Linked DNA regions of Caenorhabditis elegans. The protein of the gene in region 1 interacts with the protein of each later gene in a pairwise test. Each region holds a gene or a part of one and is shown in the gene's direction. Other genes may lie near its edges. The genes, in order: nhr-76 and nhr-49.

The links.
Region 2: the proteins of nhr-76 (region 1) and nhr-49 interact in a two-hybrid assay, tested with the Caenorhabditis elegans proteins (4 studies listed by BioGRID).

What each region holds. Positions count from the first base shown.
Region 1 is NC_003282.8:621,646-638,664, forward strand, and holds nhr-76 (Nuclear hormone receptor family member nhr-76), read left to right. Parts: upstream 1-5,891; 5' UTR 5,892-5,904; coding exon 5,905-5,964; intron 5,965-6,097; coding exon 6,098-6,425; intron 6,426-8,044; coding exon 8,045-8,110; intron 8,111-8,485; coding exon 8,486-8,662; intron 8,663-8,877; coding exon 8,878-8,996; intron 8,997-9,049; coding exon 9,050-9,261; intron 9,262-10,151; coding exon 10,152-10,378; intron 10,379-10,425; coding exon 10,426-10,535; intron 10,536-12,055; coding exon 12,056-12,199; 3' UTR 12,200-12,318; downstream 12,319-17,019.
Region 2 is NC_003279.8:9,864,517-9,880,153, forward strand, and holds nhr-49 (Nuclear hormone receptor family member nhr-49), read left to right. Parts: upstream 1-5,201; coding exon 5,202-5,271; coding exon of another isoform or gene 5,272-5,275; intron 5,276-6,711; coding exon 6,712-6,809; intron 6,810-7,395; coding exon 7,396-7,537; intron 7,538-8,177; coding exon 8,178-8,533; intron 8,534-8,582; coding exon 8,583-9,146; intron 9,147-9,194; coding exon 9,195-9,305; intron 9,306-9,443; coding exon 9,444-9,608; downstream 9,609-15,637. Other genes in the region: K10C3.5 (Elongation factor-like 1), read left to right, coding at 1-559, 1,321-1,866, 2,746-3,312, 4,079-4,414; inx-20 (Innexin), read left to right, coding at 12,012-12,088, 12,452-12,566, 12,610-12,697, 12,736-12,821, 12,927-13,177, 13,226-13,322, 13,386-13,592, 13,643-13,819 and 3 more; Nuclear hormone receptor family member nhr-69, read right to left, coding at 14,874-14,942, 15,214-15,312, 15,358-15,463, 15,511-15,637.

The sequences.
Region 1 (17,019 bases):
CTTGATTTTAGTTGTAAAACTAAATGTATTTGTCCGTGTGAAGTACACAACTTTCCCACGCGTTGTCCGGCGCGCGATTGTCAATGGAGCGCGAAAAATTCAATGAGGGAGGCCAGAACCCCGTGTCCACCAATTTTAATGCAAATTCTTTGTTTTTTTTTAAAGAAAATTCAGAACACCACGATAAATCTTGCGGGAATTATGAAAAAAAAATTTTGACACAAATTAAATATTTTAATAGTCATAGAACCTAATTTTTAAATTGAAAGTCTTCAGAAAAACGAAGAATTTGTGTTGAAATTGTGTTGAAAAATTTTTTTATTGTAAAAAAATTCAATATGCAGCGCTAGAAAAAAGTTTACTTTTTTGTAGTTAGGAAAGACCTGAGAAGAAGAAGCTGCGATTACAAAAGTAAAAAAAGTAAAAAGTTTTGATAAGTTGCTCAAAAAATGTCTCAAAAGTACAATGGATCCACTAATCGGCACATTGATATTTGAGTTTTTTTTTTTGAGTAACTTCAGGAGAGTTTTTTCAAAAAATAAAATTATTTTCAAAAACTACAAATAATTTTCTATATTTCTATGAGGCATTTTCAAAAAAGAACTTTGGCATATCTGCTTGGAATGTCCTGTTGAATGAACAGCCTTCACCCCGCACCTGATTAAAACACAAATTCCGAACAGTTTTTCTTTCGAATCCTAATCTTTTAATATATATCCAAAGTCTAGTCTATTAAACAGAAATAATAGAAGAAATGTCAAAAGATCAAAATAGAAGCAATTTTTTCATTCCAACATCCCCCTCGCAATGTACCTTTGTGTTCACTGATCGTCATAATCCGATCCATTCTATCCGTCACTTTTGCTATCTTTTCTCTTCATATCCTCATTCTTATATATCTATATAGTTTTCCATGTTTCTGAATAGTCTTTGTACCCCCTCTGTACATTCTCAAAAGTTAAGAAATGTCTGAATGTTTGGAGACGTGCCAATTGTTGTTTTAACTTTCGTGTTCAATTGCTCATAGAGAGGGGTGAGAAGAAGAAGAAGACGCAGAAAAAGCAATACTCAAATGTTGCCACATTTTTGTGGCAACATTTGAATTAGAAGAATCTTAATGTTGCGAAATTGCTCTTGACTCTGAAATTATAGGCCTGAAAATTATAGCCCTCTGGAAATCAGAAAGGTGTGTTAGAACTTTTGTTCTCTTCAAACTTTGAAGTCACCGAAGGATTTCGCACTTGTGCCTGCCTGCCTGCATGCCTACCGCCTATTCAGTCGCGTTTGCATCCGGCAATTTCCCTTCTTCACATTTTTTGAGTCTACCTCTGAGCAAGCCCTTCTATACGACTGCCTACCTACGTTCAAGCCTGTCGCTCATCTATTCGAATTTAGAATTTGGATTAGAGAAGATTTACGAAATTTAATTTACTAGACGAACGCCCGACATTTTCTGGGTTTCGCGACTTATCGTATAGTTGAATGTTAGGCCCTCGTGCCGGCCTGTTCGCCTACCTACGTGCATTCCTTGGGTAGTGCTAAGTCGTAAGAGCCTATTCAATATATCAGTTTTCTACTGCGCCCGACGGTTTGCGGGTTGCGATGTCATTTTGTGAGTGGTTAGCCTTACTAGTTGGAGCAGGACACATACATAAAGTAGGGAACCTTGTATGCAGGCAGGCTAAAAATTGTCAACAAACTGTTCGAGTTTGACCAGACAGTAGTATAACTTTAGCCAATTTCCTTCTACACAAAAACCTGTGCAAAATTCCGGCTAATAAACCATTTGATCAGGTGCTCAGGAATTGCTCACCGAGTTCCGTTCTCTCACTCCGTTTGTTGTCTGATGTTTTTTAGTTGAACTCTCCCGTCTTAGTCAGCACCAACAAATAGATCGTTGACGTATTTGTGAGTGACTATATGTATGAGCCAAATGATCATTATTTGTTAGTGGGCAAAATGTGTGCAAGGACAACGGCACAATTGTGTTGCTACAGTTTTTATTGTGTCCGATGATTCAAAAAGAAACTCTGGCGAGTAAATAAATAGGTCAAAAGTCAGGAAACACTTTAAATTTAATCATAGGCACACATATGCATACCAGGCTGGAAGGCAACCTACGCCTACCACCTCCCTACACCTAATTTATAAATCTTTTAATTTAAAAATCTTTATAAAAATTAGCTGCAACTTTTTCGGGCTCTTTGGCGTTGTCTGGGAGTCGTGCTGAAACTTGAGTCCTAGCCCTGAAATTGTTTGTTTTTTAATGGAAATGTTTCATGTAGCTAAAAAATTTCAGATCGATTTTTTAAAAATGAAGGTGCTCCTCTGCTGCTAAATTCTGTGTAGTTACAAATTTCATTGATTATTTTTCAAATGACGGAGGTACTTGATAGCTTTATTGACACTTTGCAAGCTTATTTTAGTCCCCACGGGGACTGGGCCGAGCCCGGCAGAAGTGCAACGCCAGGACGACCCTTGGGAAGTCGAAGCAAGCCCCGAGTCTTCCCAGGGTTCCAAAAATCATATAACCTTTATTACACTCATTTGAGTGTATACCGTAGGTTAATACGATAAGAACAGATACTACACTTTGATCTTAGCTAATAAGCCGAAGAAGCGATACTGAATGGAGGAGAGGGTAGGGGCAGTCCTGAGCTGTGTACCGACAAATCATAGATGCGCGTGTGGAACTATTAAATGGCGGAGGTGAGAGTGGAGGATAACTATACTGTGCACGTGAACCGTTAACGTAGGCATGAAGTAGGCACTCATGCAGGCAACTAGGCAGAAGGTGTGATGTATAGGCACAGAAACAGTCTGGTAGGGGTCAGAAAATAAACTCACATCAGGAGTGAGCTAGGCTAGGCACGCAGGCATGAGCTAGGCAGGTCGTCATGAGATACTCATTGCCATAAATTCGTACCTAACAAAGCCTTGCTAAAAATATTTTTTTACAAAAGAAATGTTGTCGTTCTTTCCGTCCAAGAGTTCAAGTACATCCGTATATCCAAACAAATGTATCAAACTTCGTACAATCTCACTCCCCTTTCTTCCCGTGAGACGGGAAGATTCTTATCTTCAAATTATTCTACGGGAGCGTCTTTGACATAGCCTTTGTTGCCTGATCAACTTTCCATCCAATCGTTCTGCTTTTATGGATTGATCCCTTTTTTGATGATTTTGAATCAGACTTTCTAAATGTATTTGGTTGTTTTTTTTTTGAGAAGAAATTGTTATTTTACGGAGCACAAAATGCCTACTTACCTGCCTCCAAGACGATCCTGGATTTAATAACGACCTATGACTGCCAGCCTACTTTCAAGGCGACCTATGCCTGCCTACCTGCCTCCAAGGCGATCAACGTCTGCCCGCCTGTCTTCGAAGCTATCAATGTCTGCCTATCTCATTTTTCTCATTTTTAGCAATCTCAAAGCAAAAAGTAATGTTCAAATTTTTATATTAGGTAGTCAGGCACCTAGGATAGTAAGCATACGTTGGATACGTAGTCATGACACCTGCCTACCATGTAACTCTTACCATCTAACAGCGTTAAAAAAGCAACAATGAATCAGAACACTCACTCTCCACACCCATGTTACAATTTCGAACACATATTTTGTACATCTGGAGTTGTAAAACTGAAACAACAAACTAGTAACAAAATTCTTCGTGATGTTTCTGAAATTGGGAAGTAGAACGCTTTACCGCGCCTTTTTTGGATACAAATTGATATAAATTTCTATAAAACGTAGAATTTAACTTTAATGATCTCTATTAGGACTTGCACCCTCCGAATCGTGGCGGCATTTGCAGTTAGGCAATTCGGAAAATTGCCGCTTGGCCGATTTGCCGGAAATTTTCATTCCGGGCAGTTTGCCGATTTGTCGCAAATTTTGATATTCGGCAAATTGCCAATTTTCCTTGCAAAAAAAAAATTTACAATTAGAGGGATTTTTTATAAAACGGAAAAACTTAAAACTGTGCCTTTTTGAAATGTTCGTCCCGTTTCCTTTGAATGTTTTCATAGAATTTGCTTACTTTTCAAAATAGATGTAGGAACATTCATAAGATGTATACAATTTTGCCTTTTAAAATTGAAATTCTGGGAATTCCAAAAAGAAGTACAAAACCACAATTTTCCAAAAATTTTCGGCTAATCGGCAATTTGGCAGTTTACCGATTTGCCGATTTGCCGGAATCGAAAAAACGTTTACTTTGAAAATCTAGAAAAATATTTCGCACATATCTTGTCCGTTGACAATTTTTTGATAAAATCAAAGGGAGCCGAGATATCTATCAGCTGTGAAAGTGGTACGAGGGTAGGATTTATTTTTTAATATTTTTAAAATTCAAAATACTCGTGTGATCTCCGAACTTGTGTTCGCCCCGCCAAATCCTCATCCAATTTTTCATTTTTTTTTTAACCAATAAACAAGTATCAAACTCTTTCTTTCTTTTCCTGATGTTTCTCTGTCTAGGCAGACTGCCCCCGCCTAACCCCGCCTCTGACGGCCGGCAACTTGCACTTTGAAAAGAGAGCGGAAAAGAAACATAACACGAACGAAAAAAAAACCACTAAGAGATAGAAATATGTTGCCGATTCCGATTCTTTTCAATTCATTCTGATTACAATTTAAAAAAAATGTTCTCAAACCAAACACATAAACAAGTGTGTGCACTTTTGATAGAAGGATGCAGGGGGAAAGTGCAAGATGTCATTCATTTTTTGAAAACCGAAAAACTTGACAGTTAGCCACTCCTTCTCCCTACCCAAACTGTCTGCGTCTGCCGGTCGTTCTATTTTTCCTATTTTTTCCTTCGTTTTTTTTTGCTTTTTTGTTCGATATCACTTGTTCGCCCGTCTCCCTTCTCTGCCGCTCGCAACATTTCGCATCTGTTTTCCCAAGTTTCTGATGATCACTTATCTTGTCAAGTTTCGATTGCAAATTAACACTATCTAGCAGTTTAGAATGTGATTAATACTGCTTTTGGAAAAATATTTACAAAAAATATTTAGTTTCCCAAAAGTTTCCCAAGTTTTAAGATAAATGGTTCTGAAATTCTGAAGCTTAAAGTTCATATTTTTCAACATTGGTGTTTCTGAATAAAAATTTTACGCAAACTAGAGTTTCCATACAGGCTTCTAATGCGTACCTACCTGCCTCCCCTTAAGGTGACTTTCGCGTGCCTTGCGCCTTCCGCTAAAACACTTGCCAATTCATTGCTCCTTTCTTAACTTTGTTTTCAACAAATCGATTGAGATGAGGAAACTTTCAACTTCTAAATTCAATTCTAAATGCAGATAAAGGCAGGCAGGTTTCAGGCAGGCACAGGCCTTAAATTCACTTTTGGAATTATTCCTATAGTTAGGATATTTCACAAAATTTAAAAATTCTAATAACATTTTAATTTTCGGCATGCATGTTTTCATGCCTGCCTACCTACTACCTTATTACCTTTGTTTGCAATTTCCAATCTCAATTGATTTTTTGAAAATCATAGGCATAAGGTAGGCGTAGGCCGCCTAAGAATAATAATAAAATATCCGCTGTAAATATATGTCAATCACTTTTTTTGATAATTTTTTTTGATAATTATCATACCACATGTGTATCAAATATGAAATTCATATGAAATTTTCATGAATTGGAGATTTGGCTACCTGCCTACTTTAAGACGGCCTACGCCTACCTCGTGCCTCACAACATTTTCCCTGACCTACAGTAACCCGGAAAACTTCCTCATACTTCCCCAACTGGCAGGTTTCTTCCGATTACTCATATCGTTCGTTACTTTTATTTTACAATAACCGTATTTTGTAATTATTTGATATGTTTTCTTTCTTCAAATAAAATTTTTTTTTAATTAAAATTTTCAAATTATTTCAGATTAGTTAGCAAAATGGAGGTGCTCGGGAAGCAGAAGGTGTTGGCCATGATGAAGCTGAATGGTGCTGGACAGGTGAGCTACTGCCGGTTTTTTTTAGAATACCGGCTTGGCTCAGAAGCCGATTCTCGGCTAGACTAAACCGGCGCACCTAGATACAATAAATGTTGTGCCAAAACTATAACTTACTCGATCAGAACTTTTCCAGCTCACCGGGTACCCCTTCGAGACGCCTTCATCCTCCACCACAACACCTTCAGTACCTCCTTCCTTCCCACACTCATCAAATCCCAACGCCTATATGAAGCCATCTCCACCATCAGCTATATCATCACCACCATCCACATCATCGTGCTCCTCGGCTTCAGAGAAGAAAGAGTGTGCGGTGTGCAAGAACCCCAACTCCAGTGGATACCATTTTGGGTGTATTGCGTGTGCCGCTTGTTCAGCGTTTTTTCGACGTACCGTAGTGCTTTCGAGGAGGTACTACTGTAGGAGGGATCCAGTTGGCAACTCGCTGTGTCCGCTGGATAGACGTTAGTTCATTTTTTACCGTACCCTTTTTGTGAGGCCCCACGAAAAGGGAGCAGAACGAAAAGGGGATCTGCAAAAAGGGGATCTGCGAAAAGGGGAGATACGAAAAGGGGAGTTACGAAAAGGGGAGCAACAAAAAGGGGAGCTGGCACTGTGCCAAACGCACAAAACGCAATTTTTCTCACGCAACGCACGTTGATTTTTGAAATTTTCTTCTGGAAGATACGCTTAACAACACGCGACGCGTAACATCGGAGCATCGTTGTATCGTTTTCTTCGAGAAAAATAGCATTTGGCACAGTGCCAGATCCCCTTTTCGTTGCTCCCCTTTTCGTATCTCCCCTTTTCGTATCTCCCCTTTTCGCAGATCCCCTTTTTGCAGATCCCCTTTTCGTTCTGCTCCCCTTTTCGTGGGGCCTCCTTTTTGTAGACTTTGACCAGCTTCGGCAAACGTGAGAGATATGAAAAAGTGAATTTGATAACCGGATTCTAGAACAATTTTTAAACTTTAGTGAACAACTACAATAATCCTATGACTTTACTAGACTCGAATAGTAGGCAGGCACGCCTACATGCCAACATGCCTGCCTGAGTGAATACTAGTTTTTATAGTAAGGAGTCTACAGTAGGTAGGCAATTTTTATTACTTGGCTACCTGTCTTCCTAGCTGTCTATTTTCTGATTATTGGCGGTTTACACGGTGTAGATTTCCAAACGTTTGTGTAAGAAAATGAGCAAAACATTTATGGACGTATGTAGGTACGAGGTAGGCCTAGGTCGCAGTTTTGCCTGTGTATTTACAGTGTAGATTTACGTATTTCTCCTTTTAAGTGAGCAATAATTACATTTCCGTAGGCAGGTGGTAGGCCTAGGTTGCCCAATAGGCAGGCAGGGAGGTAGGTTGCATTGTTGGCAAAAGGTAAAGGTATGTACATCCAACTTGACATGGAAATTGATTGCAACTGTTGCAACTATTATTTTGCAACTATAACATATTCCTCTGGGAATAAAGGGCAAATTTTTGAATTCTAGCTTTTTTTTTTGTAAAATTCAGAGCACAAAGTTGAATAGGCAGGTTCGCAAAAAGGCAGGCAGGTAGCTATGTGCGTAGGCATAACTGTGCCTAATTTCAATTCAAGTCTAGCACGAAACTTTAAAAAAAAACTAGAAACAAATAATTTGTGAGAAAATTTTTTTTGGCATTTTGGCATGTATCCAAAATTTTCGATTAACTTTTTGGTTTGTCTGGCATTGCTTCGTTCCAATTTCATTTCCCAATTTCCCATGTTCTATTTCCAAATGTGGCCAATTGTGTCGATAACGGCAACATGATTCAATTTTCAATATATATTTCCCTTTTTCTCTTTCTCTCACTTTTTTGTCTATTCAACTATGAATTGAACACTTACAGTATTCGATTTCTAGTCACCAGAAAACAAAACTCTATTCTATCGAACGAAAATTGCTAGACAGACAAACAATTTTATCGGGGTAAAATTATGTAAAAGCCCCGTGTGTTCTGCTTATCAGTAGTAATAGTAGTGGTGCGTACTCGAAAAAATTTGTACAAATCAAGCAAATTTGACAAAAATGACAAAAAAAATCAACTTCCTTGTTTCAGGACACCGATCAAATTGTCGAGCATGCCGATACGTAAGGTGTATCGATATGGGGATGAATCCGAGCAGTAAGTAAACTTTTTTTTCGAGAATTCGGAGATTTTGATCTCTGAAATATGAGTTGTTCTTGTCGAGAAGATGGAATCTGTCTAGGGGGAGAGGGCGCAAAAAAGTGAGAGCGCCTAATTGTAGGTACGGTATGGCCTGCCTACCTGTAAAGATTCACCTATTAAGCTGCTTAACATCACAGTAAGACTGTGTCCCTGAAAATGACGGGCGCATAAATTTAACTCGAAGGTAGACAGTCAGACACATAGGTATGTAGGCCTTTGAACGGCTGATAGGCTGGCAAGCATTCACTTTGATTGGCAGGCAGATAGTCGGTAGGCAGGCGCGTAGACATGTAGGCAGGTCGGCACAAATAAAATAATTTCCGATTCCAGGCGTCCAAAACCTTCGAGACTCGATCAAGCCACGGTCCCCAGCAGAAATGATTCAGGAAGCCGAGGAGGAGGATAAAAAGGAGAAGCTCGACGATATTCTGTTCTCTGCTGCAACTCCGGGTAGTTGGATATCCAGTACGAGCACATGTAATGAACCACTTCCAGTTGCTCCAAAAGGTGAGTACGAAAATGGGGCACCACGCCCGCCCTCTGTAAATCCTGCGGCCGACACCTTGCGGTTCACGAGCCCGTTGTTGGCTGTCGGCTGCAAGTCGATGAAAAGGCGAGCGTGATGCCCAACAGTCTGAACCTGCTTCTCTCATCCTTTTTTAAAACCTGATCCTTCCCATGCTTCTTTAATTCCAACCCATCCCAACTCATCCAAAGTTCAGAAATTCCCGGCGAAAACTACATCGAAACCCTTGCCGCACTATACAAAAACTCTGTGGAGCGACGTCGAATGTTCTACTGTAACGGATCACTTCGCGAGATGCTCGGAGGCACCGGCTTAGTAATTACTGTACTAACTATGGCTTCTTTTTAGCAATTTCTTTCGGATTTCAGAAGATGCGACCAACGAGATTTGACGAACGATATTACAAGGAAAAAATGCGATTTGAGTTGGTTTTGTACGTGGAGATGATGAATTCAATGAGCGTGTTCCGACAGATGGACCTGGATACCAAGGAGACATTAGTCAAGGGATGTGCTGTGTCATTGGCCATGCTGGAGAAATATTATATTTCTGTGAAATATGATGGGTTGAGAACTCAAAAGTAGGGCTTTGCATTTTATTTTTATTGTTAGGGTACTTTTCTAGTACTCTATGGCTACTGTAGGATAACTCTAGTTTTAGGAAAAAATTGTTTTCGAAAAATTCCACAACTTTCTCGATATTTCTAAAAATATTTCGATTTTCTAGAGACCTTTACATTCCAGAATTTTCCAGAGCGTTCCAGACAGTTTCAGTAATGCCCAGATATTTTTAGAATTTTTTGAAAGGTCTAGGTCATGTCAAACTTACGAGAAAGTTTCCGAATATTCCAAAAAATTTGTTTCTAAAAAGTCCCTGAACATTCTATGCTATTTCTAGAGAGTTCCAGAATATTCAAAAATTTATATAACTTTCCAGGAATTTCTAGAAATGCTCAGGAAGATCCAGAGTTCTCAGAACATGTCAGAATTTCCTGGCATTTTCCAATATGTACCATTTTTCAGAAAATTCCAAAAGTTGTTTCACGTTTCCAAAAACATTTAGTGTTTTCTAGAGCGTCGCAGAATACTTGAAAGTGATCTCAAATTTTCCAAAAAAGGTTCCAGGACGTTCGAGGATTTTTTGAACCATTCTTGAAAATTCTAAAAAACTCTCAACATTTTTTCGGAAATTGCAATTCAACAATTCTGGTCATTTTTTTTTTTGAAAAATAAATTAAAGGAAAAAATCTCCATTTTTTTCGATTTTTCAACTTTTCAATTCAACAAAATTTCAAAAAAAAATTACCTAAAAAATTTGACCGAATTTTCTTTAAAAAATCGAAAATATAAAATTTTTTAATTTTTCGAATTTTCAATTTTAGAATACTCCAGATTTCATCACAATTTTTCTCGCATTTTCTTGAGAGCATCAGAATTGTTCTACTCTCTGCAAAACTTTTCTCGATTTCAGACTAATTGCTCCGGACGGGTCCTACACGGATTTGAGTGATCATGGTGCTCAATTCGACGACGAATTCACACAAATCACCGAGTCTGTCATGGACAAGGAAACGTGTCTGAAACTGCTCTACGACCCGCTGCGGTCGTGTTTGAACGAACTTGGATCCGCGTTAGAGCACTCTAGAATGACAGACACCGAGTTTTGTGCTCTTTTTGCAATATTGTTATTCAATACAGGTTAGTGCTGTCTGGAAGAGAGGTGTCAATTGAAAGTGCAATTTCAGCCGCTGATAACTTATCGGACGCGAGTCGTAACGCCGTAGTGATGGCCAGAAATCGGGTGATGAAGGATTGGTTCGAGTTTTATGCGAAACAGGGGATAGACCCACATGAGGTAGAGAAGCATCCTTCATTTAAAAATTTCGTGATCTTAAATTTTCTAGAAGATTCTGGTTTGTTCTGAACGTTTATGAAAATCAAAATTGTCTGAAAACACCGAATTTCAAAATGAAACTTCTTGGAAACTTTTCAAAAAAAAGTTATGGCGTCTCAAAAAATGGCCTAACATTTGTTAAAATTGTAAATTTGACCAACTTGTCAATGTCACAGCGGCTGGAAACAATTTTTTTTTTGAAATCACCGTCAAATTTTAAGTACACAATGTAATTATCTTGCGCGTTTCCAACTTCATTTAGTTGTTTCAAAGTCGATGGACGGCAAGATTTGGTTAAAAAAATTTAAAAAAAAAGCAATTAAAAAATTGGACTACACCACTGCAACTTTTTTCAAACGGGGGCCTAGAAAAAATGCAAAAAATCGGTGTTTGCACACAATACACCGCATATAACGACATTTTGTACTTGCTTTGTTTTCTTGTGTTTTTCACCGATTTTTCCCGTTTTTTCTTATTAAAACTGATAAATAAATATTTTTTGCCAATGCTAATATAATTTCCAGATGAAAAAATTATGTATTCAGTCGGCAAGTAGCGGTGAAAGTGGTCAATGTTATATGATGGATTACGGGAATACTAAACCTAAACTTTTTTCCAAACATGATAAATATGCTGCTTAGATGCTGAAACTACCTGATTTTCATAACGAGACCGCTGAAAAAGTTTTGAGATTTTTAAAATTCAACATTTTATGCGAAAATCTCTACTTTTTCACCAAAAAAGTTGAATTTTGAAAACCTCAAAATTTTTTTAGCTGTCTCGTTATGAAAATCAGGTAGTTTCAGCATTTAAGCAGCGTATGTATCATGTTTGGGAAAAAGTTTAGGTTTTGTATTCCCGTAATCCATCATATTACATTGAGCACTTTCACCGCTACTTACCGACTCAATACAGACTTTTTTCACTTGGAAATTGTTTTAGCATCTGCAAAAAATATTTATTTATTAGTTTTAATAAGAAAAAACGGGAAAAATTGGTGCAAAACAAAAGAAAACACGCGGAAAACAAAGCAACATAAATGGCCGCTGAAACTTGTCGGCCCCTCGGCCATGGTCTAGAAACCACTTTTCCTCGTCCCTCGTGAGGAAAAAGTTGCAGTGTACACCACCTTTAAATGTGTTAGAACTTTCTAGAGATTTCGAAAATATTTGAAAAGTTTCTGGGATTTTTGGTAAGTTCTACAAAAACTGAACTATTCTGGACCACCTATTTGAAAATTTCAACAACAATCTAAAAAGGCTTTCTGGAAATTTTGAAAAATCTTGAAACGATTTCGATCAAAATTTCTGTAAGATTTTCGATCATTCATTGACCATTCATCCCTAGAAAAGTCAAAATATTTCTGGAAAAATCTAGATACTTCTCTTATTCTGAAACAGCGGAGAGGCCGCTGAGCACCTAGATGTTTTCTCTGCGCTCTCCTCCTCACCTACGCTCTCTCATCCTCTTCTAGTTTCCAGGCTGGTCTTCTCGTGGGCAACACGTTGCTTCTTCTGACAGCCGTCCGCAATGCGATGGCAGTTCACCGTGAAAATTTTCACGTGATTCGTGTGTTCAATGTGATGGAATATGATAAATTAATTGATGATCTCGCGTTCACGTAACCCCAAAATGTCCTGCAGTTGTACATAGAATACCCAGCCCGCTAGAAAATACTTTTCGCTAGAAATTGATTCGCTAGTTTTAAAGTTTCAAAAGAAATTGTAATAAATATTTATAATTTATGTTTTACTTTTCGTTTTTTTTTTTGCGTATTCTGAACTTTATACTTTTGCAAAAAATGTTGCAGAAATGCAAAAAGCTACAAGTAGTTTACCATGGCAGCCAATTTTTGGAAACAAAGACAGCTAATTTTCAGCACACCATTTTTCTATTGGAACATCATATGTACAGGCATCATGTAGGCTTCCTACGCCTTTCTCGTGCCTTCCATCAGCCTGCGTTTTTTTACATGAGTTGCGAACCCCGTATAATTTCAGGCGCTTTTGGGAAATTTCAGAAAGCTTCAGGAATCTCTTGAATTTTTTGAATCTTCTGGAAAGTTCAAAAATTTCCTGAAAAATGTTTAAAGTCTTTGGAAACTTATTGAAAGTTTCGGAAGTTTCTGAAATTTTCTGGCGGATTTGAAAAACTTTGAAAACTTTTCAAATTTTATTGAAATTTCAAAGAACTACTGGGAACTTTTTGAATTTTATTTTTGATATCGAGGCTTTTCAAGAACGTTCAGGAAACTCTATAAAAGTTCTGGAAATATTGGGAAGATTTCTGGAAACTTCGAAACATTTCTGAAAAGTTTTGCAAGTTTTGAAAAGTTCTTGAAGAATGTTTAAAAAATCCTGGAAAGTTCTAGAAATTTTTGGAAGCTTCTAGGCACTTTTTAGGAATTCGGAAACTTCCAGAAACTTTCTCAAGGCTTCTGGAGACTTCTGAAAACCTTTGGAAACATTTGCAAACTCTCAAGAACTTTCTGAAAGCTCGACGAATTTCTGAAATTTTCCGGAAAGTCTTAACCTCGTTTTTTTTCTTTTCTCTTGCAAAATTCTGTGTCAAAATTCAAAGTCAAACGACGCAATAACCTCTAATTTTGAATTATCCTCCAATTGACGTCACACCCCTCCCCGTGTCTCCCGTATTCTCACCGTATTTCCACATGGCCGCAAAAAAAAAATGCATAATTGAGCACTCAGTGAAAATGTGTGCTCCGTCTGTTTCTGTTTTGCTATTCAAGAGCTTCGAACACTTTTAGAGTAGAAAACAAAAAAGAACAATTTTTTGTTGCAAAAAAAAAACAAAAAAACAACAAAATAAGTGGGTATTGTTGTTTGTTTGAACGAAGCGAACCGATTTTTCTCCACACTAATTCCTTCCGCTTTTGTTGTTTTATTTTTGAGTTTTCTTTTCAGAATTCATCGTTCTATACAACTTTCTTCCCTTTTCTCAAGAATCTCGAATATCAAAAAAAATTCAATTATTCCCAAGTGGCTTGTGACCTGTTTGTTGGCATCAACACAAAAAAAGAGGTCGTCGGTTTTTGAGATTTTCCAAGGTTTTCAAGGTATACTGTAGATGATAATCACATCGTTTACAAAATCAGGCAGGTATGTAGGCAAGTAGGCAGGCCTAAGGTCGTGCCTGCCTTTCATAAAAGCTTTACAGATATGATGTAGTCATATTTGATCTCCGATTTAAAAGTCTCTTTATTGTGTTTTTGTGTCCTCAGAACGCCTTTTCAATTATGATTTCATTTTATTTTTTTTGTGTATTTGTTCTGCAAAAATGACACATTTAAAATTCCAGTCAAGTCGTTCGGAAAATAACAAAAACCATTTCCAAAACTCCACGTCACTTGCTTTTATTCCTTGATTCTCACGCTTTTCACTAATGATTTTCCCAGAACGGAGAATAGGTGTTTTGTATTCCATTTTGCAGAGAAAAATGTCAGCAAATTTTGCTTTATTTTTATGAATTTTGGATAAATTTTTGCTTTAAAAATGTGAAAATGCTTCAAAATTGCATTGTTGGTTTCAATTTTTAAAACAATTTTTTCAGAATAAATTAGCACGAAATTCAAATACAAATTTTTAAAAAAGGTTATAGAAAAATAGAAAATATCTTACTCGAACTATTTAAAAACATCGGCGGGGATCTCAAAATTTGATCTTTCAACTATTTACCGGGAAACTCAATTTCAACTTTTTCGATAATTTTTGATGGGATATTCAAGTTTTTCTAATAAATTTCAAATTAAAATTTATTTCTAAATTTGTTCAAATTTTCGGGAAATTGAAAGTTTTTCTCCAAAAAAATTTGATGTGATATTCAAATTTAAATTTTCAAAAAAAAATTTAGGAGACAAAAATTAAGAAAAAAAGTTTAATTTTTTTTCGAAGGAACAGTTAAATTTAAACTTATGAAAATAATTTGCGAGAATTTCAAGATTCAAATTTTCAAAAAAAAAATTGTTCTAAAAATTCTAATTAATTTTTTTTTATTTGAAGGGAAATTTAAATTTAAATGTTTCAAAAAATTTCAATATTTTTTCTCCTCTCAATCTTTCCTTTAATTCCCTAAAAATTTCCAAAGTTAATTTTTCAAATTTCAGACTTTTGAGCTTTTACCCCAAGTTAAAAAAAAATTTTCAAACACAGTTTGACCCAAAACCACTTCATTCGCCGGGAAAATTCGAACATGAAATATCCATAAAATCACATATTCTCTCTGAATAACCCTATAAAGTTCCAATTTTAGTCGACCAACACCGCATGACCATTTGTTTCCCACCTTCATTTTGCATTCGTTAAAAGAAAATGAAATATTTACACACCTCGTGGTCTAAGTAGTGGGCCCCAGATGGAAAGCAGAGAGTCTATTCAAAATAGAAAATAATTGACGTCATTTCTATTTTTGCGGATTTCTATTTTTCCACTAAATGTTTATTCTGTGGTGTCTTGCAAAAAGGTCCATATATATTCCATTTATTAGGAATTTTGCAAAAAAATTGTTTTTGAACATTTCTGATGATATATACAACTATGCTAGTACATCATTTGTTGGATTTTTAAAGGAAAAAAAAATTCCAATTTATAAACGATATTTGTAGGTACTGTTATAGGTCCTGCTTGCTATAGAACACGTGAGCATTAATGGTATGTAGGCAGGTAGGCAGGCAGGCATGGTAAAGTCAAACTTAAAATTTTCAAGGTAATCGGTATTTTTTTAACTGTTTACAAAAACTTTTGCTTCTTTAGTTTCATTTTGTTTCAGCTGGCCTAGAAATTTGATTCCGTTGTTTTTTTAATTCTGACCAAACGTTTCCGCCAATTTTCATGGATTTTTTTTGAATTAAAATTTGTAAAAATCGGACATTTTTACGAGTTCTCAACTTGCCAGACGATTTAAATTTTGGTAAACTGCCAATTTTGCCAAAAATTGGAAAAAGTGCAATGTGACAAGTTGCCGACGGGCCTAAAGCGAGCAATTTGCACAGTTGCCGATTTGCCGGAAAATTCAATTTTTTGGCAAATTGCCGGGTTTCCGAACCGAAATTTTGAAAATAACTTTTTGCTGAATTTTTGAACATTTTTTTGGTAGATGAATTTAAAAATATACATACATTTTTAGATGTTACGGTAAATTTCGAAATATGGACAAATTGTCGATTTTCTTGATTTTCCGGCAAAAAACCACAATTTGCCAATTTCGCCGAATTTCACAGTTGAGCTAAACCTTTTTCACCTTTCCTTTTTCTGAGTCAGAAGTCCGGTCTGAATCTATTGGTTTTTCAGTCACAAACAACATAAATTGGAAGCACAAATTACACAAATTGGCAACCAAATTGGTCGGTAGACCGCCGCCACAAAAAATGTTCCCTTTCAATATGGAGGCAGAAATATATATATTCATATTTTTAAAAAAGTGTTCTTTCATTTTCTGTGATTTTTTATTCTTTTTGATATATGCTGTGTTCTTTGTTTTATATATGTTCATATCAAAAAATAACTCTAAGACTTATGGGCTTAATGCTTAAAAACTTCCCCGTTCTCATTGTCAGTCAAAACTTCTGAATCTTGAATTGTTCCTGACCTGACATACGAATCTGTTTTTCATTTTGTGTTTTGTTTTTCTCAAAACTTTCGATCCCGAGTACAAATATTGTGATTAGTTCCAGCAGTACTTGTATTTTTTGAAAATATTTTTCTTTGAAATGTCTGAAATTTATAGAAAAGTGTAAGCTCGTTCACGGAGCATCTGGAGAAATTTTAAGTATTGAAAACAACGTTTCAAGAGTTTTTGCCAATATTTTTTAAATAAAATTTTCAATAATTTTAAGAATAACTTTTAAACCTTTTTAACTTTCAGGCAAAAAGTTTTTAAATTTATTTTTCTAAATATTTTTTCAAACTTCTTGGCAACTTTTAAAAATTTTAAGTAAGTCAAGTTTTCAACCAACTTTTTTTTTCATTTTTCAAATTGAAAACCTTTCATATTCATTATAGAATTTTCAGTAAATCTTTCGTGTAAATTTCGATCGATAAAATTATTTTTAAAAATTCCACTGTGTTTTTTGAATTTGCAGAACATTTCTTTCAAGTTTTTTTTCAAAAGTTTGCAAGGTTTTAGTCGATGATTTTATAAAAATTCTTTTAAAATTTTTGAAAAATTTTTTGAGTTTTTATAACTATTAAATCAAAACTTTTTTAGCATTGTAAAATATTTTTTCGAGATTCGTAAGATTAAATTTTGACTTCTGTGCTCTGAGATTTGTGCCAAATCTCTTCTGTTTCTTCTACTCATTCATTCATTCGCTCTGTTGCAACTTTCCTCATGTGCAGATGCAATTTAGCGTGTGACTGATTGACCAGCAATAAATTATATCATATCTGTTTAACTTTTGCAGAATATTCAGTAGTAATAGTAGTAGTTG
Region 2 (15,637 bases), on another chromosome or scaffold:
AGCTGCTGAAAAAATGAAAGTAGAAAAATCGGCATTACTTCCTGCAATGTTCGGAGATTTTTGGATTGATTCGACTGGGTCTATCAGAGATGGAGCAGCAGTTAAGAATAAGGCAACACTGTTCGAAAGAATCGTTTTAGAACCACTTTGGAGAATTCACGATCTTGGACTTGTTGAAAATGATGCTACCAAGCTTGCCGAAGCTGCAAAAAAGCTTGGAATTAATTTAAAATCCAGAAGAGCCAATGAAGCTTTCGACGAACTTATGAGAACTTGGTTGCCACTTCCAAAAGCAAGTTTCAGAGCAGTAGCAAGAGCTCCAAATGTTAGATCAACATTTGATACTCAACATCGATTGGATCATCTGACAGGTCATCGTCTGGATCATCCATTAAGAAAATTCGTTCTCGAATGTAATCCTGAAGCAATGACACTGGTTTTTGTTGTGAAACTTCTTCAGACAGAAGACAAAAATCTCACTTCTCGTAGAGCAATTTGTCGTGTTCTCAGTGGGACACTGCGTAAAGGAGACACTTTATACGTCCTTCAACAACAAAATGTGAGTTTTATTTCTTAGAATATTCGAAGAATCGAAATTGGAATAATTTTGGGAAGAAAATTAGAAAAATTTACTGTTTTCATTTTATTTTTCCTCGAAATAAATTATTAGAGAATTAAAAAAAATTAATTTTTCGATTTTTCTAATTTAAAAAAATGTTGAAAAATATTATTCGCAAATTACAAGAATTAAAGATGTAGCAAATATATCTTGATTTTGATGTAAAAATAATTCAAAAAATTTCAATGAAAAAAATGAGCGGAAATTATTAAAATTCGAGTTTTTCTCTGAACGAAAAAGGAAACAATTTTTCCAAAAAAAAAAAGCTATGCCTACCAAGGTGTCACAAAAAAAATACAAAATTTTCTTTTTTTTTTGGTTTTCCAGAGTCAATAGAAAAATTGAAAAAAAGCATGTTCAGACAAGACTATGTTTTTTGTTTTAAAAAGGAACAACTTTTTATTGTTTTTCTTTTGGAAAATCGTTTGTTTCCCAAATTATCGGAAAATCAAAAAAAAAATAAAAAAAAATTGAAAAACGAACATTTTCGGTTTTCCGATATTTTAAAACCCAAATAAATTAAATTAATATTTAAAAAATAACATGTTAAATAGGTTCCTACAAACATTATCTCTAATAAAATAATTTTTGATTTTTTTTGAAGATTGTCTGATATTGGCATTTTTTTCGGAACCTGTTTGAAATTATGTCCTAAAAAAATCTTTCAAAATTGTTTTTAATTTGAAAAAATATTTTTTCAGAATAGCAGCGAAGTGACTTCTACAAAAATCGATCGAATTTCAATTCTTCGTGGTCGTGATTCAATTCCAACCGATACAGTAACATCAGGAATGATTTGTACTATTGATGCAGAAATTCTATTACAAAATACTACTCTCTGTGAGAAACCGGATTTCCCTTGTCTCAAAATTGGATCTCAAACTGGAGAAGCTTTGGTTAGAGTTTCGATCAGTACTCAACAATTGGATGATATGGACGATTTAAGAGAAAAATTGAAATTATTAGCTCTACTTGATACAAGTCTGAAAGTGATGGAATTGGAAAATGGAGAATTAGCAATGGTGACAGCTGGAGAAGTACATTTACAAAAATGTATCAAGGATTTAAATGATTTGGGACTTGTGGATTTAGATGTCTCTGAACCAATTGTTCCATTTATGGAGACTGTAATTGAAGATTCTGTACTCTCAGCACCACAAATTATTGAACAAGAGACCGAATGCCGTATTCGAGAAGCTTTATATATCAAATTGAGAGTTGTTCCATTGGGAGATGCCGTTGTCGAGGTTAGGACTTTTTTTTGAAATTTTTTGAATTGTAAAAACATAGTCTAAAATTAGGAAAATTATTTAGTACTTTTTAAAAAATTAAAAAATTGCGAAAAAAATTAATTCGGAAACATTTTTGAATTAAAAAATCGCATGATGGTTACTGTAACGCGACCAAATTTTCTTTTTTTGTTCTAATTTTCTTTGAAAATGAAAAAAAAACACTCCGCAAAATAAAAAATTTTTTAACCGGTATCGATTTTTCAGGAAAAATCGAAAAATCGAAAAACGAAAGTTCAAAAAATGAAACATCAGAAAACGTATAATTAAAAAAAGGTATAATTACCAATAAATAGTTTCGAGCTATTTTTCGAAAAATCAAAAAAAAAATCAAAATATCGGAAAAACCCGACACCCTTGGTTTTGAAAGGTTTCAAAGTTATCTAAAAAATTCGATAAAAATATAATAAATGGGAAAAAAGGAAGCAAAGCGGAATTTTGCCGAATTGAAATGAAATTATTGGAGAACATTTTTTTTAATTTAAAATTCTCAGGTTATTATGCATTTCAGAGAAATTTTATATGTATAATTTAAATCAAAATCCTCAACGAACTCGGCATTTCGTCACAACTTTTACACCAACTTTAGCAACTTAAGCGCCAATTTTAGCGTTTTGCAACTTATCCACCAATTTTAGCAACTTTTTAACCAAGTTTAGCCAATTCTAGAAAAATTTTCAGTGCAAATTTTGAGGGCATCCCCAACTTTAACCTATTTTGCCCAACTTTAGCAACTTTTTTACCAAAATTTAGCAACTTTTGCACTTGGCATTTCTAAAGTTGCTAAAGTTGGTGGATAAGTTGCGGCGATTTGCCGAGGAACCTTCAATTTTTCAGTTGCTCGACAAAAATTCTTCGTTAATTTCATCGATTCGTCGAGGAGAAGCCGATCAAACCGAAATTGATGAGTTCCAAAAAAGATTTACATCCGTTTGTCTGGAAACGCTTCCAACATTGAAAGGATCTTGGTGGTTTCGAAAACCGAAGGAAGTGATTGAATCAATGATTGATCAAATTTGGGCATTTGGACCAGAAAGAGCAAGAGCCAATATTCTATTCAATAATGTTCAAAATTATGATAGAGATTCCGTTTGGAGAAAAACAGAATTTGGTGTTAGAAGATATGATCAAGCACTTGTCGCTGGATTTGAATTATTCTGTAATACTGGACCACTTTGCAATGAAATTATGCACGGAATAGCAGTTATTGTTGAAGAATGGAATGTTGATGAAGAAGATGGAGCTATTGGAGGACAAATGATGACTGCAATAAAAGCTTCATGCTCTGCTGCTGCTAAAAAACTTGCACTCCGCCTTGTCGCTGCCATGTACCGGTGTACTGTAACTACAGCCAGTCAGGCATTGGGAAAAGTTCATGCCGTTTTGTCACAAAGAAAATCGAAAGTAGGAATGGAGAATTGTAGAACATTTTCAAATATAGTTAGAGATTATAAATTTAAATATTTATATCCATCAGGGCAGTAGATTTTTCGCTTTTTTGAAGAAAAAAAACGATTCTATTTTAAAAACCGAAAATCCTGATAACTGATAAATTTAAATTTTACATGTTTTCAAAAAAAAAAAACACTAGAAAATTTAGAAAGAGTGCGATTTCGATGAAAATATTCAAGTTTTCAAAATAAAATTTCAAATTTACAAAAAATTAATTTTTAATTTTTTTTCCGAAAAAAAAATCCGAAATATTCTGATATAGCTCTAAAAATGACACTCGAAATTATGAAAAGTTAAATTTTGACCAAAATATTTAAGTTTTTCAATATATAATTTCAAATTTACAAAACTTTCCTTTTTTTTCAATTTTTCGGCTTCGAAAATTTCCTTTTTTTTGTTTTCGAATATAAACCTGAAATCCATGTCAATATTTAATGTGATTTGCCCATTGAGCATGTGAACGAAGTATTTAATTTTTGTAATTTTCGACGCATCTGTGCAAATAACGTATATATGGAGAGAATATAATGAATGAATCTTCTTTCCAACTATAATCTAAATAGATTTTATGGTTTAGTGTGCCGATTAAACAAATAAATACGGTATATCCAATCTCATTTATATGAGCATTTTGTTTCAAAAATTTCGAATTTTGACTATTACTTTAATGGCGTTGTATAAATACTAAATTTTAAATAAAAAATAATTTTGAATTCAGGTACTCTCCGAGGACATCAATGAAGCTACAAATTTATTCGAAGTGGTCTCCCTAATGCCCGTCGTCGAATCGTTCTCTTTCTGTGATCAACTTCGCAAGTTCACATCTGGAATGGCTTCTGCTCAACTTCAATTTTCTCACTGGCAAGTCATTGACGAGGATCCTTACTGGACGCCGTCTACATTGGAAGAAATTGAAGAATTCGGATTGAAGGGAGACAGTCCGAATCATGCAAGAGGATATATGGATGCAGTTAGAAGACGTAAAGGACTGCCAACCGAGGACCTGATTGTGGAGTCGGCGGAGAAGCAGAGGAATTTGAAAAAGAATAAATAATTTTTTTTTAGTTTCGTGATATTTTTTGTTGTTTGAATTTCCGGTTTTGACACATTTTAATCTTGTTGATTGTTTTACTTGTTTTTTTTTGTTCGTTTTTTTCAAAGAAATAATTAAATTGAAATCATCAATTTGAACTTTTCGAAAATATTTGCTCCAAAAATGTTAACTTATCATATAAGGCATATCTGAAACATTTTAATTTCACTCGGTTAACACTGTTTCATTCACGTGTGGTGGTGTCAACGACCTGATGGGTATAGCGTAGTACGGGAGAGAGGGTCGAGAGGAACTTTCTTACAATCTTTCTCTACCTCTTTTCATCTATTCATCTCTAAAGGTCTGCGCCTCTCCTGTTATCGATTGTCAACGTGCTGTGGGTGGTTGGCTGTCGTTGTTTGGTGTCTCTGTCAACTCCATTCTCTCTAGTTTTTCATATTTCTCGACATGTTTGACCAACCACTGTCTCTTTTTTGTCCTTCTAACCGACTGGCCTGCCAGCTTTAGCTTCTTCTTCTTTTTCACCATTTTCTTTTCTTTTTTTTTCGTTTCCTTTCTGTTTGCCAGTAGTTCAGCTTTTTTCCACAATCAAAAGTTCATAGATTTAATGACTGACTTTAAATGAGACGACGCCGGTCCCAATTAGCTTTGAGAGTACAAAGTACGGGGCATCGAACAACACTGAACTACATAATGTAGTCTCTCACTTCCTGTTTATATGGGGTGATTCGCAAACTCCTTGTATATACTCATCATTTTGTTAGTCAACTCATTCCGTTCTCACGATATGGACTACTTTCTTGATGCTTCTAAACATATTCAGTTGAATCAAATTGATGAAGAATCTTCAGATGATTGTAAGTAAGTTTTATAACGGACACATCAAGCGACATTGAAAGAAAGTCAACTTTTAAAATATCGACTTTCATGCCTTTTTGAATTTTCCACCAAACTGAGAACTACAAAACCAATCAGCGACTTGCTCATTGAAATCCAGAAATTAATAGAATGATTTTTGGATGGCTTCTTTGCAAAGTCCACTATATGGGTATATATGGATTTTTATACGTTCAAATAATATGTACATTTTTGAGTTTATTAACCTGGCTCTTCTAAAAGTTCTAAAGTAATTCAAATGCCCTTTCTCTTAGAACGTCATTCTTCGATGTGTCTCCTCATTTTCTACCAGAATTTACCAAACCCTACAACTGGATCCTCGTCGGTCACTTATTCGATGCATTACATCTCCTCGCTCCTTAGATATAGATCTTACGATCTTGGAGAGAAAAGGAACGACACTACTTAGCGCGACCGTCTATCTTATTCGATCCGTCGGACAAGATTGATCAAGAAGACTTTGAAATAGCATCCGCATTTAAGAATACCTCATTGGAGTGAGCAGAGAGAGAGAAAGACTACTGGAATCTTGCCGAACACATCGACCAGTTTTAGAGTGTGCCACATCAGTCCTTTTCTGATCTTCGCGTTTCCTTTTGTTTGCTCAAGACGGATGATTTCTCAATCTTCTCTACTTTCGCTACAATAGCAACACGTTTAGTCCTACACTACATCTGCTAAACTGGGAGGCTCGAAATTTCCGAGCTATCAAGTTTCGGCTTGCCCTTTCAATGTTCAAATTTCTACTTTTATTGGACTCGATTAGGATACTTTATTGAAAAACATTCTACATGAGCTTCGGTCTTTTTGAATATACGTTCAAAATTGTTCTATATTCAGAAACAATAAATTGAAAGTACCAAGTTTGTCCTTCTAGCAGTGGAAATTCTAATTATATGCTGCTGAATTATCTCCACATCCTCACCAATAAGGTCTAATATAAAACCTACAATTTCTGAACGCGGCCCATTCATCTGCCTAGTGGTCAATGCATCTCAATTGTGTGCACTTGCCGGTCCTTTATTATTAAGACAACATGCGTTCCACTCCTAAAGACACCATTGAAACACTATGACGTCATAGTCGATTTGCAATAGATACGGCAAATCGTTTTTTTTAATCCACCGTATCGTCAGGACATTTTACATTAGGCTTATCAATACTTATATTAAATTTTGTCTTATTTCTTGTGTGTCTATCATGTGTTAAAGCCATTGCATTGACTCTGATTTCTCTACTCGTCTGACACTCTCTCTACCTCCAACACTATTTCATCGTTTCCATGAACAAGTGACATTCGTCGTTTCTCTTTCACTTTGAAAACTTGCGTTGCTATCTGTTGTTTGGTTTTTTTCGTGTTTCATTTGTTTTTTTTGTTGTAAAAAGTTTAATTGTTTCAGTCATGGACCTAGTAGATCCTCTTGCGGAACCATGTGCCGTTTGTGGTGACAAATCAACTGGAACCCATTATGGAGTCATTTCCTGCAACGGGTGTAAGGTGAGAAGGGATAAATTATAAAATAATAAAAAATAAATTATATTTAGAATTATGTGAAATTATAAATTCAGTTCTCGTCACGAAAAATGATTTTGGAAATTATATTTTTTCCTTTTTTGAAAAATGAAAAATCTCAGTTTTTGCCACTTTTGGAAGTCGTTGATCAAAAAAATTGTTTCCTTATAATTTTATGGACTACTTATGTTTCAAATATTAATAATCAAACACTATAGGGATTCGATAAGCGACAGGGCTATAGTTTTCTCAAAAAGTGGCAAAAACTGTAATTGCCAGTTTTTACTGTCAATAAAAATTTTCTAACTTTTTTTGTTAACTTTGGTACCACAGGAGTAGTTTTTAAAAAACAATTTCCTCACTTTAAAGCAAAGTAATATTGACTCCACCTACAGTAACCCACGCTTTTCGCGCATGCTTTATTTGAAAACATATTGTTCGTGACGAGACCGAGTACTGTACTTTATGGTTGCAAAAGTTCGTATTAATTTAACTGGTTTTTGAAAGTTATGATTATCATCTCGAACTTTTTAATGATTTATCCCGCATTAATAAAACTCATGAATTTCAGGGATTCTTCCGCCGAACAGTTCTTCGTGATCAGAAGTTCACTTGCCGTTTCAACAAAAGATGTGTGATTGACAAAAACTTTCGATGCGCGTGTCGTTATTGTCGCTTTCAAAAGTGTGTACAAGTTGGAATGAAACGAGAAGGTATTCATTTCTCTTTCCGTTCAATATTTGAATATATCCAAAACACAGTGGCCTCATGTTTTTCACCAGTGACCTCTTTTCAATTTCGTCCGTGAAATGAGATCGGCCGCAAAAAAGATTCTAACTTGAGATATTGATTCGGAAATTTGCCCCGTTAACTCAGAATTTAGAATATATTCTTCTTTCTTTCCTTTTCCTGTCCGTAGATTCCATTTCAAAACACGATATTTCTAAAAAAAAATTGTTTCGTAGTTTTCTATCTAGAAAAAATAATTTTGGAGCAAAATATCGTATCTAATTCTACATACGTTTAAAATTTGGATGTTTTTTCATGTTTAATTCGTTATTTTAAAGAAGAAATAGAGTCATAATGACAGAACATAACTGTTAAAAATTGTATTAAATTTTGAATGATTTCTTTTTTTTTAAATTTACCAAAAAATTATATTGAAACAAAGCCACAATAAACATTACCGAAAAACGCAAAAATGTCGAAAATATAGTAAACTATAATTATATTTCATTCATTTTCGTGGGAATTCAAAAATACAAATTTTAACAACTATTTTCTGTCATTCAGGTCCATGTTCTATCATCTGAATCACATCCACGATCAATTCTACAATTTAATATATTTCAGCTATTCAATTCGAACGTGATCCTGTAGGTTCACCAACATCTGGAGCCAGTCTCAACGGGACTCCATTCAAAAAAGACAGAAGCCCCGGATACGAGAACGGAAACAGCAACGGTGTCGGATCAAACGGTATGGGACAAGAGAATATGCGAACAGTTCCACAATCCAGCAGTGTCATTGATGCTTTAATGGAGATGGAGGCTCGTGTCAATCAAGAGATGTGTAATCGATACCGAAGATCGCAAATCTTTGCAAACGGCAGTGGGGGGTCGAATGGAAATGACACAGATATTCAACAAGGAAGTGATTCTGGAGCATCGGCATTTGCACCACCAAACCGGCCATGCACAACCGAGGTAGTGAGTTGGATGGTACGTAAATTAAGAGGTCACATTGTTTTATTTTCAGGATCTGAATGAAATCTCCAGGACAACACTTTTATTGATGGTTGAATGGGCAAAAACAATTAATCCATTCATGGATCTTTCGATGGAAGATAAGATCATTCTACTGAAAAACTATGCACCACAACATCTCATTTTGATGCCAGCATTTCGAAGTCCCGATACAACTCGAGTTTGTCTCTTCAACAATACTTATATGACACGTGACAATAACACTGACCTCAATGGATTTGCTGCATTCAAAACAAGCAATATAACACCCAGAGTTCTTGATGAAATTGTCTGGCCAATGCGACAACTTCAGATGAGAGAACAAGAATTTGTATGTTTGAAAGCACTTGCATTCTTGCACCCAGAAGCCAAAGGACTCTCGAATAGCTCACAGATTATGATTCGTGATGCTAGAAATCGTGTTTTGAAAGCTCTTTATGCATTCATTCTCGATCAGATGCCAGATGACGCACCCACAAGATATGGAAATATTTTGTTGTTGGCACCGGCTCTCAAGGCTCTGACTCAGCTGCTCATTGAGAATATGACACTTACAAAGTTCTTCGGATTGGCAGAGGTATGAAAGCTTTTCTTGTTTGAATCCGTACATAAATGATAGCTTCAGGTGGATTCTCTGCTCTCCGAGTTCATTCTCGACGACATCAATGATCATTCGACGGCTCCGGTCTCTTTACAGCAACATCTTTCATCTCCGACAACGTTACCGACTAATGGGGTTTGTTTTTAATTATTTTATTAAACTTTTTATTCTAAAAAAATACAAAAATAGCGAAAACGGCCAATGATTTCAGGGAAAAACCGTAAAATTCTCTTTTTAAAAAAGATCTTCCATTTCAAAATTCATATTTTTCAGGTATCTCCGTTAAATCCAGCCGGATCAGTGGGAAGTGTTTCGTCTGTTTCTGGAATTACACCAACTGGAATGCTCTCAGCAACTCTTGCAGCTCCATTGGCAATTCATCCTCTCCAATCACAAGATTCCATTTTGAACAGTGAGCAGAATAATCATATGCTCTAATAATTCCATTTTTTCTCCCAAAACTCTTCACCTCATCTCATCTCCAGTTCTATTCCGAATCTGTGATCTTTCATCTTTTCCCTTATTGTTGTTTTGAATCATTACCCCCAATTTATAAAATAGTCCAGAGCCCAGCTATAATGTACATAACAAAAGAAGAATACCCTTCCGTCTCAGTAGTTGTTTCATCTTGAAACCTGTCTAGGCCATCTCTATATCATATCAGGTTATTGTTCTCGTCTCCCCCAACTCTTCTTCCTTAATCTTTTTTCCAGACGGGCTGGCTCTCGTTTATTCTTGTGATTATTATTGTCAATCAAATTATCAGTTTAGTACTTCAATATGTATAAGAAGTGACTGTCTTGGCATTTCCCATCTCTATTTAGAAGATTCCCTTCTTCCCATTTTCCTTCCTTCTTTTCAAGCGTTCGTACCAATTTATGTTTGCAAAAAGAAACTTTTATTTATACTTTTTCAAAGCTCATCGATAAAATACATTATTATACCATATTTTATTATTCGTATCAAATAAACACAATTGACTCATCATTATGAATTCACTCGAGAAGTTCAATGCCACGTCCTCCACCACCTCCACCAAGACCGTAAGTTTTATTGCAATTTAGAAATTTAGAAGAATTTACAAAAAGTATTGTTTTCCAAATGTTTGAGCACCTGGTGTGAGCTGCTGGAGGTGAAGCTGAGCTTTTTAGTTTTTTTTTTCAAAATTAGATTTTTTTAAATTGTTTATTTCTCTAAAACTCTTCAAATTGATGATTTTTGTTTTGATTTCAATTGACACGATCATCTAAATGATAGTGGATATATGACCATTTCCCAAGACACTTGAGATCAATTCAATGATCCGAACAGTGTACATAACGGGGTAAAAGTGATGATATGTCTATTGGAAGAGGGAAGATGAAGAAATTGTGAGCATTTAGGCTTAGGTGGGTGAGTTCACACCTCTTGGAGCACATACACTTCAGCCAGTTTTGGACATTTTATTTAGTTTTTTTGGGTTGCTTGTTTTGGTTTTTTGATATTCTTTCCATTCTGAGACAAGAATTTGGTAACTAACAATTAGTAGTAGATTTCAAAACGGTCAACATTTTATCTTTCTTTAAGATCTGTTCTTAAAATCAAATGTGAACCTTTAAAAAGTACCGTAACAACTTGTTTCAGTTTTCAATCATTTTTAAGAGAAAATTCTATTAAGAACTTGAGAGAAATTTTCAAAAATTGAAGAAAAGGTTAACTTCGGGAAAGTTGGTTACTGTACTACTTAAAGGCGCACACATTTTTGTGGCTTCAATTTGGAATAAAATCCATCGTGGTGAGACCTAGGCATACATCATTACATGTCTATCAATTCACTTTTTTCTATACTCAATCTTTATTTGTTCCTAGACCTCAAAAGAAATTAATTTTTCAAGTTATAGAGAATATTGTAAATCCGTAAAAATGTAGGACAGTTAGCCCGAAAATATTTATTTAAGGTTCTAGTATTTGCGGGATTCATGTCTCAATATTTTTCACCAATACATAAAATTTGTGGCAGTATTACTGTAGAAGTTGACAGTATTACTGTAGTAGTTGTAGGGTTAACATCTGTATTACACACTGTGCAACTTTAACTATACGATGATCGTTTTCTGACCTACACTATTGAATTCATGACTGTCGTCCATAAAACAACAGTCAAAACTATCACATCATCTAATATATACAGAAATCATTCAAAAACTATTAAAAATCAGTTCAAACAAGTTTTCAAATATAGAACTGTAGACATGGCTTAATATTTGAATTGAGTCATTGTCCATCACTCATATATTCACTAAACATCAACATTGTGGATCTAGTCTTCAGAGTTTAGCAATTGTTTCAATTTTCAAGTAAATTCTATTAAAAGCAAAGCTTTCTCAATGTTCTCGCCCATGTCTTATCTGCGGATCTCAACAAAATCAGACATTTCTCATAGTTTAATTAACTGAGCGTTCAAATTTTGTATCATTGCGAGTCTATGTAACTATAGTCTTCTCGCGAAGATCTTTGAAATTTCAAAAAAAAATCTAAAAAATCTTGTGCAGCTCACCGAGTTCAAAAAAACTGTCGCATTCTCCCCATTTTTTACTCGAACTTGAATGATCTTGAGAGTACGCGTGAAACTGTGCAATCATGACAAAACGGTGGGAAAATCCACATTTCTGTTGGCACTTACTGCTGCCAACCTTGATTCCTCAAACATTCTTCGGAAACTATTCTTCAGTTTCTATTCTCACAAGTTATTGTAACCCAACTTTGGCTTATACAAACTGTAATTGAATACATCTACTATTCGGTGTGTATTGTTTTATTATTATTATTATGGAATAAGAGTTCTGTTTTCCCCCTCCACCGATGGACGCTCAAGCACTTCCCCAACATTCCGCTTCTTCTAATAAGACGGGTGGTTCACCTGGTGCACGTGTTCCAAGGTATCGAAAGTTGAAAGTTTGTTTTAAATTGCAATGGCAGGCAGGCCTGTTTTATTTCAGTTTTCCGCTAGTTCTGATATGATGTTCTCATAAATTTGCAGAAAATTATTACCAAAATTTAAAACACGACTGGAAGACAAGTTTTGACAATTGCCCTTTGTGGAGTATGTTTAGGATCAGTGGTTTTGGCGTTTTTGAAATTTCAAAACATAATTAAAACTCATACAAGTACTGTTTTAACTGTAATGGCCTGGTGAAATCATCAATTCATTAATGATCTCACTGTAAACTTCTTTCTAAATATTTCTGCATCTCCTGACTTTTGTGACTGTTAAAGTACCTCTTAAGATCCTATATTTTCAGAATGGTTTTCGCTGAAATAGTGGGAACTCTCTCATTCCTCCAACCACAAGCAGATGATGACATATTTGACAGATTACACTACTATTATACAACAACATTTTTGCTTTTAACTGCTGTGAGTGATAATTGAAGATTGTTTTATTGCAAAACTTTTTCAGGTTTTAATATCACTTAAAATGTTCGGAGGACGACCTATTGAATGCTGGCTTCCCGCAGAATACAAGAGTAGTTGGGAAGATTATACAGGTAATAAAAATAATCTAACAAATTAATATTTAATTCAGAAATGTACTGCTGGGCTCGGAACACATACGTTACTGCTTTTGAGGACGATAATCTTCCTGAAGTTGTTAACAGGGAGTATACCATGGTAAGTTCCACCTTATTTGGGAGCTTCACAATTTTTTGTATACCATCGCCAATAAAATTGAAAAATTACAATGTTCCATTCTTTCCTATAACCACAATTTTCCAGGTATCATATTATCAATGGGTGCCCTTCTTCCTTGTCTACGTGGCTTTCAGCTTCTATGCGCCATGCTTAATATGGCGACTTTTCTATGACAAATCAGGAATTCGACTCAAAGATATTATGGGATTTGCAAACGACAAAGCAAATGTGGTTCCAACTCAACGAACTGCAAATATTCGTGGACTTTCAGCTCATTTGTCATCCGTTTTTAAACATCGATTCAGAATTGGAGAGAAGCATCCCTACCATCATAAGTCTGTTTTTTTCTTGGAATTTATTATTTGGAAAATGGTAATTTTCAGGGTATTCCGAATTTTCAACGTTCGCTACTACGAATCATATCTGACCTACTTGTATCTAGCAATAAAATGCTTATTTCTGATGAATGTGCTGACTCAGGTAGACTTTTAATCTTTTTTTCCATTTTCAGCTGGCAACTCTTATATAAATTTACAATTCCAGATGTATTTCATGAGCAGATTCTTGGAACTTGACTCTCATCGATATTACGGTTATGGAATATTTTATGATTTGATAATGGGAAAAGGATGGAAAGAATCTTCAAATTTCCCCGTCGTAACATATTGTGATATGCAGATTAGAATACTTGGACATGTACAACGACATACTGTCCAGTGTGTTCTTGTTATCAATATTTTTACAGAAAAGGTAAATCAACATTAAAAACTTCTTCTAATGATAAAAACCGATATCTCCAGATATTTTTCATTCTATGGCTCTGGTACACCATGTTATCTCTAATTTCCTTTGGATCCATACTCTCATGGATTTTTGCATCAATTCCATTTAATCAACGAAGACAATTTATTGCTAGAAGACTAGAATTGGCTGATGTTAATTTCGAAAAAAGCCGATTCAAACAAGAACTTGATGAGGTAAGAGTGTTGGGAAAGGCTTCTATAGATAAAAATAAAATTACAGTTTGTTCGTGACTATATAAAAATCGATGGAATTTTCGTGTTACGAATGATTACAATACATTCTGGTATTCTTATGTGTACGGATATTGTTGATACAATGTGGGATCAGTTTTTACAAGAATCAGGTTAGTAGAACTTGAATTATATTCTTTTATAGGATATATTTTTAGGACATGCAACAATCAGAGAGATTTTGGAAGATAAAAGTTACGGTGACGACTATGATAGATCTGCTTCTGCTGGTGGTTTATCTATTGAACCAAGTAAGTTTTCAAGAACGTAGTGAATTACCTGACCAAGCGTACTAAGAATCATGCATTTTCTTCCACCGAACAATTTGGAATTACGCATTCTCGGTCTTTTTTTGTGATGGCTAGACCTAGATGTTCAGACTGATTATCATAAAGGTGCTCATCTAGTTAATGCAAATTTGTTCTGCCGTTTAAAAAAGTATGATCCGGTTAAAAAAGAGTCTCGCAAAATTTGAGTCAGTTTCAAAGAGAAACTATTTCCGAGAGGTGTTAGTATCATTCATAGCTTATGAAAAATAAATACATTTTAGACTTGTTCTCATTTGCCTGAATACTATGCACCCTTTTCAGGTCTGCGACGGAAAACATCAGTTTTGGTTCCTCTCATGAGTCGAGAAGATTTACATTTGGATCAATCTCCAACTACACCAGCTCCTCAATTCCTTCGACCTCCAAGCAGCCGAATGGCTTCAGCTGCGAATGTATAATAATTTCAATATTTTGTTGTTTTCCTGATACCGAATTAATTGTTGTTACAATTTCAAATATTTGCATGACATGAAATAATAATTATTAAAATAATAATAAAACCAACATAGAAAAAGGAAACAATGAGGTGGTTTGAGCAGGTAAGTAATGTGTCCGTTGGGACCCGATTTCTAGAAGTCAAAGTTTGGAAGTATTTAGATGGTTTGAGCAGGAAGGGAGGCAAGATGAGATTATGGTCTCTTGAATATAAAATATTGGAAAATTGGAAACTATTCTTCCAATTCAACTTCTGCTTTAACGGACGAGTTCACCGGTGATGCCAGACTCGTTTGTAATATCTGAAAACAAAAATTGTGAGATTGAAATTGTCTCTGGAACTTATTAGGGTCTTCCACAAAACCACCATAAGCTTAACAGTCACAAAGCACAAAAGAAATCCGCATATTTATTGACCTATTCTCCTTAGATAGACTAAACAAAATTTGTTGTGCATATTCCACATTTGGAAGAGTTTGAAATAAAATTCCCCGGGCTCAGGATTTAGGTTTTGAAAGTTGCCAATAACTAAGATATTCCTTTCATTGTTCTGCTTTTCAAAATAAAAATTACCTGTGGATCTGAAGGTTTCATATCATTTAGAATAAGTTCTTCCATTAACGAATCGACATTCACGAGACCGAACAAACGAGCAAGTTGGACATCTTCTACCTTTAAATTCATAAATTACTAATTTGAATAACAATTGTAACTAACCAATTGTTGAGCAATAGCCTGAAGTGATGGAAGTAATAACAAAAGCTTTCCACTTCTGCAATCCATTGATTCGTCTTCCATATTTTCAAGTGCCTTGTCAGTACACCTGAAATATATTACATTTGTTATAGAAGCTAGTATTGTCAAATAAACCTTCTCTGCAATGACCTCAAAAAAGCATATCGGGCGTTCTCCACCGGACTCTGATCGTTGATTTCTCTGACGACTGGATTGAAAAACAGAATAGCTTTCAGTGCAACATATTCAATTAAATCCATAT